Saccharomyces cerevisiae S288C: one gene and its partners. Changing the gene in region 3 together with the main gene of any one other region gives a genetic interaction. Each region holds a gene or a part of one and is shown on either strand. Other genes may lie near its edges.

Evidence for each region. Genes that interact genetically often act in the same process or in processes that back each other up.
Region 1: mutations in PTP1 (region 3) and TRM11 together harm fitness more than expected from each alone (negative genetic interaction), as found in Saccharomyces cerevisiae (2 studies listed by BioGRID).
Region 2: mutations in PTP1 (region 3) and RME1 together harm fitness more than expected from each alone (negative genetic interaction), as found in Saccharomyces cerevisiae (2 studies listed by BioGRID).

The regions. Positions count from the first base shown.
Region 1 is NC_001147.6:84,956-89,235, forward strand, and holds TRM11 (tRNA (guanine-N2-)-methyltransferase), read right to left. Parts: upstream 1,803-4,280; coding exon 501-1,802; downstream 1-500. Other genes in the region: TRM13 (tRNA:m4X modification enzyme), read left to right, coding at 1-309; HRP1 (Hrp1p), read left to right, coding at 2,889-4,280. UniProt on the Saccharomyces cerevisiae protein: Catalytic subunit of an S-adenosyl-L-methionine-dependent tRNA methyltransferase complex that mediates the methylation of the guanosine nucleotide at position 10 (m2G10) in tRNAs.
Region 2 is NC_001139.9:582,490-586,126, forward strand, and holds RME1 (Rme1p), read right to left. Parts: upstream 1,404-3,637; coding exon 501-1,403; downstream 1-500. Other genes in the region: YGR045C (uncharacterized protein), read right to left, coding at 1,445-1,807; TAM41 (putative phosphatidate cytidylyltransferase), read left to right, coding at 2,406-3,563. UniProt on the Saccharomyces cerevisiae protein: Involved in the control of meiosis. Represses the transcription of the IME1 gene thereby inhibiting cells from entering meiosis. But also activates the CLN2 gene thus promoting mitosis.
Region 3 is NC_001136.10:39,115-44,207, reverse strand, and holds PTP1 (tyrosine protein phosphatase PTP1), read right to left. Parts: upstream 1,509-5,093; coding exon 501-1,508; downstream 1-500. Other genes in the region: Hsp70 family ATPase SSB1, read right to left, coding at 1-143; BRE4 (Bre4p), read left to right, coding at 1,964-5,093. UniProt on the Saccharomyces cerevisiae protein: Is not required for vegetative growth.

The DNA.
Region 1 (4,280 bases), on a different chromosome or scaffold from region 3:
TCCATCTTGACGTACGAAACCTTTTTCCGCGTTTTAACTAAACTCTGTTCATGGGGTACCTGCGGAAGGAAACCAGGTACGGCTATTACAGATATAGTAAACGTTGTCGAATCGTTTGAAGGGGCTGAGCCATATACAATAACCATTAAAGAGAGAGAAAATATTGGATTAATGGCTAGGCGTGTAATCGACGAGGGCAGGTTGGTATATGTGAAAGAAAAGTTTACAGAGTTTAATGCGGAGCTGATAAGGTACGTAGAATCCGATGTTTCTTTAGAGAACGTTGCTATGTTAGTTTATAAGAAATAGAGAGCTTTTAATTTTTATTTTTTTTCACTTGTATTTTTGACGGGCTATTAATTTTAAATGAAACTTTTCTACATGATGGAACATAAACATAAATATAGGTATAGATAAATTGTTCTTCTTTTTTTTTTTTTTTCTTTAAGAGAAAGAGTAAGTAAATATATCTTAAAATTACAAAGGGCTTATGCATCATTTCAGTTAAAATTATTGAAGTACCGCTCCCTGAAATTATCTTTTGAACGTTTTATGCCATGATTACTTGATCCATTGAAAGTGCTACCCCTATTAATATAAACCAGTAGTCTCCTTGACCATTTATTGAATTCTTGAACGCAGTTGTATTTTAGCTCTAGATTTTCGTGCATTGGGACAATAGTTTCAATATTGGCGTCGTTTGCAGTGGGCATCCAGAAGGCTAATCTTCCGCCAATCGGTAATCTTTCGGAAGAGTATTGTAAAAGATCATCCAGTAATGAATCTAGAGCATACGGTTTTTTGGTTGGAATATAATCGCGACGCAAATATGCCTTTTCACCGTCAATTTCCATATCTTCCTTGCCTAGAAATCTTTCTGGATCCTTAGCACCTAGGACTTTTATGCTTTCTCTGATACCATATGGAGGATCACACAAAATAGTATCAATGACAAGATTGTTTCTTAATGCGTTATTTGTAAAGTCCATGGTCAACACGTCGAGGAATTGAGAACTCTCGCCATATTTTTTGAAGTTGGCCGAAATGTTCACTTGAGCACCCTTACCACGAATCATTCTGCCATCTATATCCGAACCAATCACTAAAGAACCAAAATGCCCACCAGCTACCAAAAAGGATCCTGTACCTGCAAACGGGTCGTACATTATAGTTCCCGGTTTCACTTGAGCTATATTGGCGCTGACCAACGATAATTCTGCTTCGAAGCTAGTTGTACCTTTATAAGGTCTTTTCTTCAAATCATATTTCTCCATGGCACTCCTATTGCTCATCTGAACCTGCCTACCAAAATAAATCCTGGTGGGGGTCTTACCACCAACGTTTTCCGATATTGGTGTGTACTCTTCTATAACAGTGAAAACCTCTTGAGGATGTTTCATATCAATCTTTCCTTCAAAGCCAAGGTAACGGAAAGTTTCAATCTGCTCTACCCTCTTAGCTTTACTGTTGCCTTTATAGCATTCGAATTCGAACTTAAAAGTGGAATGTTTGAATTTCAATTGCAGATCCTGTTCAAAGTTAGACTGACGCTGAATATCTTTATGCAGCTCATCGAGCGTTGTACCCTGCCCCCAATACTCATAAATACCTCTGGTTAAAATAGACCTCTTAATCCAATCCTTTGCTTGCTGATCATTTTCCAGCTCTACAATAAAGAAAGGGCTATTGGCATCGTACTGCGAAAAGTCTATGGAAAGATTATATAGGTCTGCTAACGATTCCAGTTCTGCTCTTCTAAAGTTCAAATGAACTTGTACCATATACAGCAGATATTTCTTCATGCTGCCGTTTTTACCTTATATACAATGTGTTTAGTTATGCTATTTCATCTCCATATTACGGGTATTAAGACCTCGATGCCCATAATCATCGATTTTTTTCACTTTTCCCACAACGTAAACATTTCTTTTTTCTTCGGAAAAGAATCCAAAATACGGGTAATAAAAGTCTCTTAAAGTACTAATAGCTATAGATAACATTATGGAGGCTATTGATATACAAAATACTAAGAAATATAGGTTGCTGCAAGGAAGAAGATCAAAAACCCTCTAAATTTCGCTTTATCTATCCATCAAAAGTCCGGAGGGTCATGCTATCGAAAACCTATTGACTATAAATATCAATTTTTTTATCTCTTCGATTTGTTCTTGAAGATCTTGCGCAGAAGTTGAAAAACAAAGAGTAAATCCTAATGTAGATGCGTGGAAAAAGAAACATGCTCTTAAGGATCCCAACTTCTTTCTCTTCTAAACATCTATAACCTTGGAAGATCTTGCGAAATACTGGGCGGCTAAATCGAATGCATTTTTAATCTTACCCGGAAATACTTTCTTTTTTTTATTTATTTTTTTTCTTGCAGCCCCTCCCTACGAGCAGCGCCGAGATTTCTTGTTGGACAAAGCAAAAAAAGTATAAAAGGCGCATGCTTTCCACACGCCCAGGCGCTCTTAAATTTTCTTCCGCTCTCTCCTTTCCGCCACTGTAATTAAAAACAAAGGATTGAACAGTTTCGACTAGTTATTTAATTTTGCAGATAGTCAAGTATTAGTACAATATACTGTTATAAATTTTTTACGTGTATCTTTTACTTTTTAGTGTTTAATAACTAAAATCTCATACCTTACTAGATTTCTTTCTAACCTTTTTTGCGAAAGAAACAAAAAGAAAAAATACGGACAGAAAAGGTATACTCAATAAACAAGAAATTGAAAAAGCGTGCATAATACAAACAATTGGCCCTTTTTTATTCTGTATTAATATTACTGTTTATATTACAATCTTTTCATAAAAGACGCAAATATTTTATTTATAAAGAACTTTAGCAGTATACACAAGTCTGAGAAAATAGAGAATAAGTTAAATAAGCAATGAGCTCTGACGAAGAAGATTTCAACGACATCTACGGCGATGATAAGCCTACCACTACTGAAGAAGTCAAAAAAGAAGAAGAACAAAATAAGGCTGGCAGTGGTACCTCGCAATTAGATCAACTAGCCGCACTACAAGCATTATCTTCTAGCTTGAACAAACTAAATAATCCAAATAGTAACAACAGTAGTAGTAATAATAGTAACCAAGACACATCTTCTAGTAAGCAAGATGGCACTGCGAATGACAAGGAAGGTTCCAATGAAGACACTAAGAATGAAAAAAAACAAGAAAGCGCTACATCAGCAAATGCCAATGCCAACGCTAGTTCTGCAGGACCTTCTGGCTTACCTTGGGAACAACTTCAACAAACCATGTCACAATTCCAGCAACCATCTTCTCAATCACCACCTCAACAGCAAGTAACTCAAACCAAAGAGGAACGTTCGAAAGCGGATTTGTCTAAAGAAAGTTGCAAGATGTTCATTGGTGGTCTGAATTGGGACACTACGGAAGATAATCTTCGCGAATATTTTGGTAAGTATGGTACCGTCACTGATTTGAAAATCATGAAAGACCCTGCAACAGGTAGATCTAGAGGGTTCGGTTTCTTATCTTTTGAAAAACCTTCTAGTGTTGATGAAGTGGTAAAGACACAACATATCCTCGATGGTAAAGTTATCGACCCAAAAAGAGCTATCCCAAGAGACGAGCAAGATAAAACCGGTAAAATCTTTGTTGGTGGTATTGGTCCTGATGTGAGACCAAAGGAATTTGAAGAATTTTTTTCTCAGTGGGGTACGATTATCGATGCGCAACTGATGTTAGATAAGGATACCGGTCAATCAAGAGGTTTTGGTTTTGTGACGTATGACTCCGCTGACGCCGTTGACAGAGTTTGTCAGAATAAATTCATCGATTTCAAAGATCGCAAGATCGAAATCAAGAGAGCTGAGCCAAGACATATGCAACAAAAATCATCAAACAATGGTGGTAACAATGGTGGAAACAACATGAATCGTCGTGGCGGTAACTTCGGTAACCAAGGCGATTTCAACCAAATGTATCAAAACCCTATGATGGGCGGTTACAACCCAATGATGAATCCGCAAGCAATGACAGATTACTATCAAAAGATGCAAGAATATTACCAACAAATGCAAAAGCAAACTGGTATGGATTATACTCAAATGTACCAACAACAAATGCAGCAAATGGCAATGATGATGCCAGGGTTTGCCATGCCACCTAATGCAATGACTTTAAACCAACCACAGCAAGATTCAAATGCCACTCAAGGTTCCCCAGCACCTTCTGATTCCGATAATAATAAATCCAATGACGTCCAAACTATTGGTAATACATCAAACACTGACTCTGGTTCACCGCCA
Region 2 (3,637 bases), on a different chromosome or scaffold from region 3:
GCGCTAATATCCTACTTAAGTGGTTGAATTCTTGTATGATTAAAAAAAAAAAAAAAAACACCTGTCTTATTTTCAATTTTATGGTACTGACTTTGAGGGTACGTGAATCATCGAAGGAAACATAATTGCACTGATATGTAAACTTCCTAGTTTCAAATGTTTTCTCGGAATACCAAATAACCTCTAGCCATAAGTTTATTTTCAAACTTTTTCCTCTTAGGTGATAAGGGAGATTAGAAAAAAAGAAATATTTATTATTGAAATAACTGTCCAAAGAAGCAAAGTGAATATAGAAGAAAAAATGCGAGTACTTACGATTTTTTATTTAGCTAAGTAACCAACGTGGTGCCATATTCACGACATAGCAAGTGTCCATAGTTGCATGCGTTTTCTTTAATATCATTGTGTTTTATTTTTATTACTTTAAGAAAAAATACAGTAGCTTTCATGCCTGCACAAATTTAACAAGAGTTTCATGGGGTACATTTTTAATGCCTCAACTATTTGGTATTGTTCAAAATTTTCTTCAAACGCTTGTTAAATCTTGAATCAGCGTTGTTATGCACCATGGCCACATGTCTCTTATAGGCGTCTTTGCGCCTAAACGTTTTCTGACAGATAGGAAATGGGCAATTCAGTCCTGGATATTTTTCTACTTTTAGATTTAATGATTTCTCCATCTCTATATCAAGCTCTCCTATATGTTGGGAAGCACAATGTCTTCTCAGACCAGTTGCTTGTTGGAAACCCAATATTTTCCAGGGACATTGCTCTATGGGACACTTACACGGTCTTTCAAGGTTGAATTCGTCTAAGTGCGCGGCAAACTCAACTAACGTTGCGAACTTTTCAGAACAATGAGAACAGTGGTAACTTCCTCTTTTTGTTTGCCCTTCGGAAATTGTGCTGAGTACTTTGGGGTCGTGATATAGCTGTGCCACGTGCGATTTTTGGGGATAGCCTAGAATACACTGTGAATGGGATTGTTCTGTTGTATTGCTCTCAATAAATACAGGATTTGCTCCTTTTTGACGTCCATAATTAATAAGATCTCTGAACTCCGGATCAACTAATGACGTGATACAGTGTGTACTGTCCGCTATTTCATCCGGCCGTAATTGAGGTGCTGTACCTTCCTCAGTAGACGACGTAGAGTCATAAGCCTGTCTCTGATTTCCGGCTATAACTGTGATTGTGTTTTCTAATGATAGTAGTAAACAGTCCTCAGTGCTGGAAGGCAGGCTGGAAGGCAGGCTGGAATCCCCCTCTAAGGGTGATGCCGAATATTCTTTCATGTTTTGCCCGAAATCGTGCCAATGATAAATCGGTTGCACCTCTTGTAAAACCTCTCTGTTCCAAGACCCCTTGGCGATGGCACTGTTTTGTCCATAACACGGTGACATAAGTGCTGAAAATCCCAACTTCTAGTAAAGAATTAACAAATTCAACTGTATGACTTATAGGATAAGAACAATGTCAGTTCCAATGCGTTGACACAGTAGAAAATATATTTACTAAGAAGCAGCTTCGTCGTTGGTATAGTTTCGGTTGATCTAGATATAAATATAACTACAAATAAATGGCAGGAAAAATTGAAGCAAATGACACAGGACATATCTATCACATTGCTCCCTTTAATTTCCTCGAAGGCACTCTGGCCTTTGTTCTCTGCATAAGAAAAAGCCAGCAGAAAATACGGTGATATATTTAATACATGCCCGGCCACTTTTCTGCTGGTAAAGCCCACCGGAAAAGTTCGGATTTTCTTATCCAGTATACGCCGACCTTTTGATGTAATCTGTGACATCTCACTCCGGCGGCCATTTTACGTGACGAAGCATCCCTTACAACAGAAAGAAGAAAAAAGATATGCCGCTTTGCGGTTTCTTTCTGGCAATGTATGCACTCATAATGCTACTCGTTTACCCACTATCCCTGTCCAAACTAAAGAGGGAGGAAAGCACTTTTTGCATTTACACATCGTAGATTATAAAATGATCGTTAACAGGCGCTTGTGATTTTGAATTTAAGAAATGTGGACTAGAGAAGTCTTAAATCGCCAATGCTGTACCAGACTCTCTATAGCATCTAAACACGAAATTCAACTGTTATCTTAGTTTTTCACTTACCAGTAGCGCGCTTGTTATTCCCACGTTATTATTTGCCCCCACATCATAGGTCAAGTGACCTTCTCTTACCCGACATGAATAAAGAAAAGAAAAGAAATCATACCCTTCAGCCTGTTTAGCCATAAATAGTAAAGAGTAGATGTTTCGACGGACTAAATAATGTGAAAAAGGTTCTAAAACCTTCAAAACAATTAAACTTGAGAAACGTTGCTATAGGATTGAGCTAATAATTTGAATTAATAGGAGCTGCTTTTTACTTTGATATATCCTGAAGTTATGTTACGAGTTTCTGAAAATGGTCTACGGTTTCTGCTGAAATGCCATTCAACGAACGTAAGCATGTTTAATAGGCTTCTGAGTACTCAAATAAAGGAGGGGAGAAGTTCCATAGATGATGCTGGCATTATCCCCGATGGAACTATTAACGAAAGGCCGAATCACTACATCGAGGGAATTACTAAAGGCAGTGATCTGGACCTCTTGGAAAAAGGTATAAGAAAAACTGACGAAATGACTTCCAATTTTACAAATTATATGTACAAGTTTCACAGATTGCCCCCCAACTATGGAAGTAACCAGCTCATTACTATCGATAAGGAACTTCAAAAGGAACTGGATGGGGTAATGTCATCCTTCAAAGCTCCGTGCCGGTTTGTATTTGGTTACGGCTCAGGAGTTTTCGAACAAGCGGGATATTCCAAAAGTCATAGCAAACCTCAAATCGATATAATCTTGGGCGTCACATATCCATCACATTTTCACTCTATTAATATGAGGCAGAATCCGCAACATTATTCAAGTTTGAAATACTTCGGTTCCGAGTTCGTGTCTAAATTTCAACAGATCGGCGCAGGCGTATATTTTAATCCATTTGCAAATATAAATGGACACGACGTAAAATATGGGGTGGTTTCTATGGAAACACTTTTAAAGGACATAGCTACTTGGAATACATTCTATTTAGCAGGACGACTACAAAAGCCTGTAAAAATATTGAAGAATGATTTGAGAGTGCAATATTGGAACCAATTAAACTTAAAAGCTGCAGCTACTTTGGCCAAACATTACACCTTAGAGAAAAATAACAATAAGTTTGACGAATTCCAATTTTACAAGGAGATCACTGCCTTAAGTTATGCAGGTGATATTAGATACAAACTGGGTGGAGAAAATCCCGACAAAGTTAACAACATTGTTACCAAAAACTTTGAAAGATTTCAAGAGTATTACAAGCCGATTTACAAAGAAGTGGTCCTAAATGATTCATTTTATCTTCCAAAAGGGTTCACATTAAAGAATACTCAGAGACTTTTGCTCAGCCGTATTAGTAAATCAAGTGCATTACAAACTATTAAAGGTGTTTTCACAGCTGGAATCACAAAGTCAATTAAGTATGCTTGGGCCAAAAAACTAAAATCGATGAGGAGAAGCTAGTGTATCCAATGTTATCTACACATTATCTTTTATCAAAAATGTTTTATCGTCCTTTCATCTCTTTCGAAGAATCG
Region 3 (5,093 bases):
GGAGTGAAAGCAACGAAAGATGGGGTGACTCTGTTACCTTGTTCGTTGGCAATAATTTCAACGGAGGATTCGTAAGTAGCAACACAAGAGTAGGTTGTACCTAAATCGATACCGATAGCACCTTGGAAAACACCTTCAGCCATTTTGTTCAATTAAAATACTGTAATGATCTTGGGACATCTGAAAATCCAAAAGCAAGAAACATTTTTTAAAGAAGGAAAAGCAAAGCGACAATAACTAATTAATCTTTATATAAAAAGAGATGAGTACTACAAAAGAAACGTCGAGCGAAGATGAAAAATTTTTCTTTTTTTTTTTTTCAGTTGCGTGCTATAAAAAAAAAAAAAAAAAGATTCATCCATACTTCCCGTTCGAAATGATCATAAATAACTGCGGTGTATGGGCTATGTTCCCATGACAACGAAGCTAGAATATAATTATAAGGATGAATAAGTATTGTTATTGAAAAAATGCACAATTAGGAACTTTTATATAGCTGTCTATTGGTTCACGGAAAGACTGTTAAGATACTTGGCAGCATGGTAGATAAATAGGAACTGATCCTTTGTCTGAACCATTTTCATTCTTTGCGAGCGCAACTGTAACACGATCTGTTCGATCAAGTCCCGTGTGTACTCCTCTGTAGCCCTGTCTGAATGCCTTGACCGTTCTGTAATATTTTTAAAATCCAAGGTATCATGCATGAGATGATCTAGGGCAATGAACGTCCCCGTTCTGCCCACGCCTGCGGAACAGTGTACGATAATGGGGTTCCCGCGGGAATTCAAGCTGTGGGAGTGAGCGCATAATTCCATTATGGGTACTACTTCCTCTGGCTTGTTCATATCTTTCCAAAGGTCGAAGTAAAAGTGGTGAACAGTTTTGACAGGTCCTACAAGAGGGTCCGTGGGTGTGAGTTTGATATCGGTGACCGTATAATAGTCCTTCACCTTATGTACGTTAACAAACTCTATTTTCAAATCAGAGGGAAATTGAGTCATATCATTGGCGCCGCCCGGACTTTCCCATTTTGATGCTATTCTAACCGTATCGTCTACACCACCGCGAGGCCAGTACTGGTAGCACTTCTCCCTATTGTATTCTACCAGAGGCGTGACCATCACAATGACAATATTGTCTAAAGGACAATTGTGATAGCACATTTGCCAAAACTGATCCCAAGTTTTACGCGTGGGACCTTGAGTAGCAATATAGTAGCCCGGTTCGATGCTCTGCCCTGGCACGTTCACTTTGACATACGAGGCATTAATGTAATCATTCCCGGATAGAGTCTTCAAATGAACGCGGTTCCTCTCATACGGCATAATGTTAACGTATCTGTTTCTAGCATCGTTACGAGGTTCTATGCTGACCCCCAACGACCATCGTGAATTCACCGTTCCGTTTGTAGCTTCCCTTAATCTGCCGTCTTCTTGATTCTGTATGAACTTGAATTTACCCAATAAATCCGTGTCACGCTGTCTAATATACCATGGTGCAGCTGCCATCTCCACTGTCGCAAACTACTACTAACAAACGCTTTTCTTGATAACTCCTCGATGAACCCTTTTCCTCAATAAAATGTAAATATAGTTTGCCTTCCTCTTAATAGTGTGTACAAATGAATTTTTCTAATACTAAACGCCCTAAAAATGACCTAATTAAATATTACGTTAACCTAAAAAAGTACAAAGAAAAAAATGGAACACCTACAAATTATAAACAATAACCCTGTCGCCCAAAGTTAGGTTTCCGATAAGACTTTTCAGTGAACAAAATCTGGAAATGAAAGGCGATATAACATTATCAAAGATGATTATGTATAGATTGCGTGAAATACGCGCAGGAAAACGAGTTTAAGCGTCACTAACACTTTAATCAATTTAAAGTTCATTTTTAACTTGCTTTGTGCTCCACTAAGGAAAGCATGTACAGTATAGTGCTGGAATTGTAACAGGTCCTCATGAAAAGATATGAGCGAGATCGAAGTCCCACTCCTGATCCTGATATTGTGAAAGGTTCATACTCTCAAACATCACTCAGGTCACTACATGAACTTAACTATAAGAATCCTGCCGGTATAAGCGGGCTTAGCTTTGCAGGAAGCCCACAACAATCCGTGGCATCCTTATCGCAAATGCGGCTGGAAAATTTGGTTAAGGACAAACACTGGGAGGAAGTAGAGGACTTTGGGCTGGAAGAGCTGAGAGATGGGTTTTTTGATGCTGCTTTTACCAAGCCGGACAGCAAAGCTAGGTCTCCTAACAGCGACATCGATGACGACAATGGCGCTGCAAGGAAAAAACTGCAATCTGGTTTTACCAAGCTTTCCGAATATGTTTGGACTGCTATCTACAGGCCCATTATTCATTTCCCTAGAGATATTAGAAAAAATGGGGTATCCATATTCAAGTTTTTTATTGCTTATTTCATTGCTATCGTGATTTGCGTTATCAGGCCTTCTGGTAGGTGGATTGGCCATGAGTTCAGGTATTTTCTACCCATCGCAGTACTTATACATCATCCGGTCAGAAATATTGGTGTTCAACTGGAAATGACTATAAGCTCCATTATCGGCGCAAGTTTTGGCCTGGGATGGTCGGCTTTGGCATGGTACATTTCCACAGCGACAAAGCCGACCGCAAACTACCAGGGAGGAATTTTATTTCAGAGTCTGACTATGGCCCTCTTATTTGCCATCTGGCTAAGGTCTGTTTACCGTCGGTTCTTCTATTTCACAACTTCGTTTTCGATATCGATTATATTCACTCATACAGTTCGGTTGGCCTCATCCAAGTTTGATTTGAAGTGGCAAATTTTTTGGGATTTTGGAATCTCATATCTCTTCGGCCTTTTGCTATCTCTCTTGGTTTGTGTATGTGTATCACCACATAGTGGCAATGCAGAGTTAATGGAACATTATAACAAGTGTCTACAGACCACAAAGACCTTTTTAATGGCACTAGTAGATACTGAATTAATAAAGTCCAAAGAACAAATTTACCTAGCCCAAGTAAAAATGGTGAAAACACTAAACATTGATTTATCTCAAGGTTTTAGAGATTTTGTAAATCAGTTGACAATTTCCAGGTTTGACCTTCAATCGTTGAAGAGTTTAAGAAATTCTTTAACTGCCATGGAAACTTCTCTGAGAGTATTACCCATTGCACCCAAAATTTTTAATGATGATGAATTGAAAAAGATGTATGAAGAATTGGAGAAGTATAGATCGGATTCTGCGACCCTGAGCAAAGAAGCAAGCGCTAGCCCTCAATCTTCAGGAATTCCAACAAGAGAAAACACGCCCAGTGCCTTTAAGCCTATCGGTCCGGGGCTTTTAAAAAATGAAATCTACATTAATGCATTAAAGGCGTCCTTCTCGAAAAGCATCTTCAACTTAATACTGGAAATGATCTTCGTTTTGGAAAATCTATCAAGAGTACTAAAGAAATACGAGTCTCCAAATCAAAAAAACAACTTAGATGAGTGTGTCAAAATATTAAGTCACTCGCATTCTAAATTAAAGAGGAAAATTTACAAACTAGATGTTTGTTACAGGGATTTTGTGAATTCTAGTTTTTTTTCACAGGAACTGTTGAATGACGAAGAGTCTGTCGATATTTTCCTTTTTCTAAGATATTTGAGAAACTCCGCAAGGCAGCTAGTTACTGTTATCCACGATTGCCAAGTTTTGGGTGAGAATATTCACTGGAGAATTGCTCTGCCATCATATCCACTGTCTCGTGCGTTGACAAGATTGCCCAAACAATGTGTTCTCGATGAAGGTGCAGGAAATGTTCTTCATTATTTTGAGGCCAAACGTGATGTCGATGAAATTTTTGAAAGAGTTTATAACACCTACACGTCAAGACACAAGTATAACAAAGGCGAAGAAGAAGCGCTGAGACTTGATTCACAAGGTGGTGACGAAAAGTCACAGAATCGCAAAAACCACACTATTTCCATCAGAGCAATTGATCACAACGACTTCAATTTTCATACAACTCAAAATCCTTGGAGATTTAAACTATGGAAATTGAGTAGAATTTTATCTGGTGATGAATGTAAGTGGACACTAAAGATTACTTTTTGTATGATATTTTTGTGTCTACCAACTTGGCTACCTGAATCCTATCACTGGTACCAAGAATTTCATTGTTGGTGGGCCCCACTCACGTTTTACTTATTAGCACATAGAAGATACTCTGGTAACTGGGCGTTGGTAATGAGGAGATTAATCTGTGGTATAGTAGGTATCTTTTGGGGGTGGGCTGCCAACCAATCGAGACATTTTGGTAGTCCATACGTGGTTTGCACGTTTGCTGGTCTGATCGTGGTCCCATTTAGCATCAACTTTCTTGTCTATAGAAACACCAAATCGAGCTTCACTGCATTAATGTGCTTTACCATAATTGCTCTTGAACCATACAGCAAACCTAATAGACATTATAACTTAACCACCGCTGGAATATGGAAATCTACGTGGGTTACAGGCTTGGCACTTATTATCGGTATTTTGGTTTCGATTCCCATCAACTGGATAGTGTGGCCCTTTAGAGCTAGGACAGAACTAAGAGATAGTATGTCATCATTACTGGCACACTTGGGCCAGTCCTACCAAACCGTGGCGGACCGGTATTTATACAGGGATGCCGACGACGCACCTACTGATTTAACTTTCGCATTTTCCCACATTCGTGAAGTTAGACTGACTCAAAGTCTTGAAGCAATCAGGGAACTTTTGAAGAAAGCCCGTCATGAGCCAATCATTATTTCCAACTTCAATCCTGAGAAGTACGCAAGTCTAATCAATTCATGCCAATTTTTGTTATCTAAGATCATTGAAGCGAGAATTTCAGGTGCATTTTTTGAAATTTGGGATCAGGATTTTGATATTGAAACCACGAGAGCCTTACTATCGCTACGAAGAGATAGTGTCTCATCAGTGATTTTCGTTTTTTACATTTTATCCAATTGTTTCAGATCAAAAAACAAGATACCGCGATACTTGCCAAATCCAATTATGTCACGTAAAAAACTTTACCACTTCATCAAGAAATTTAGTGAAATGAAGGACCAATCACATTCGAATT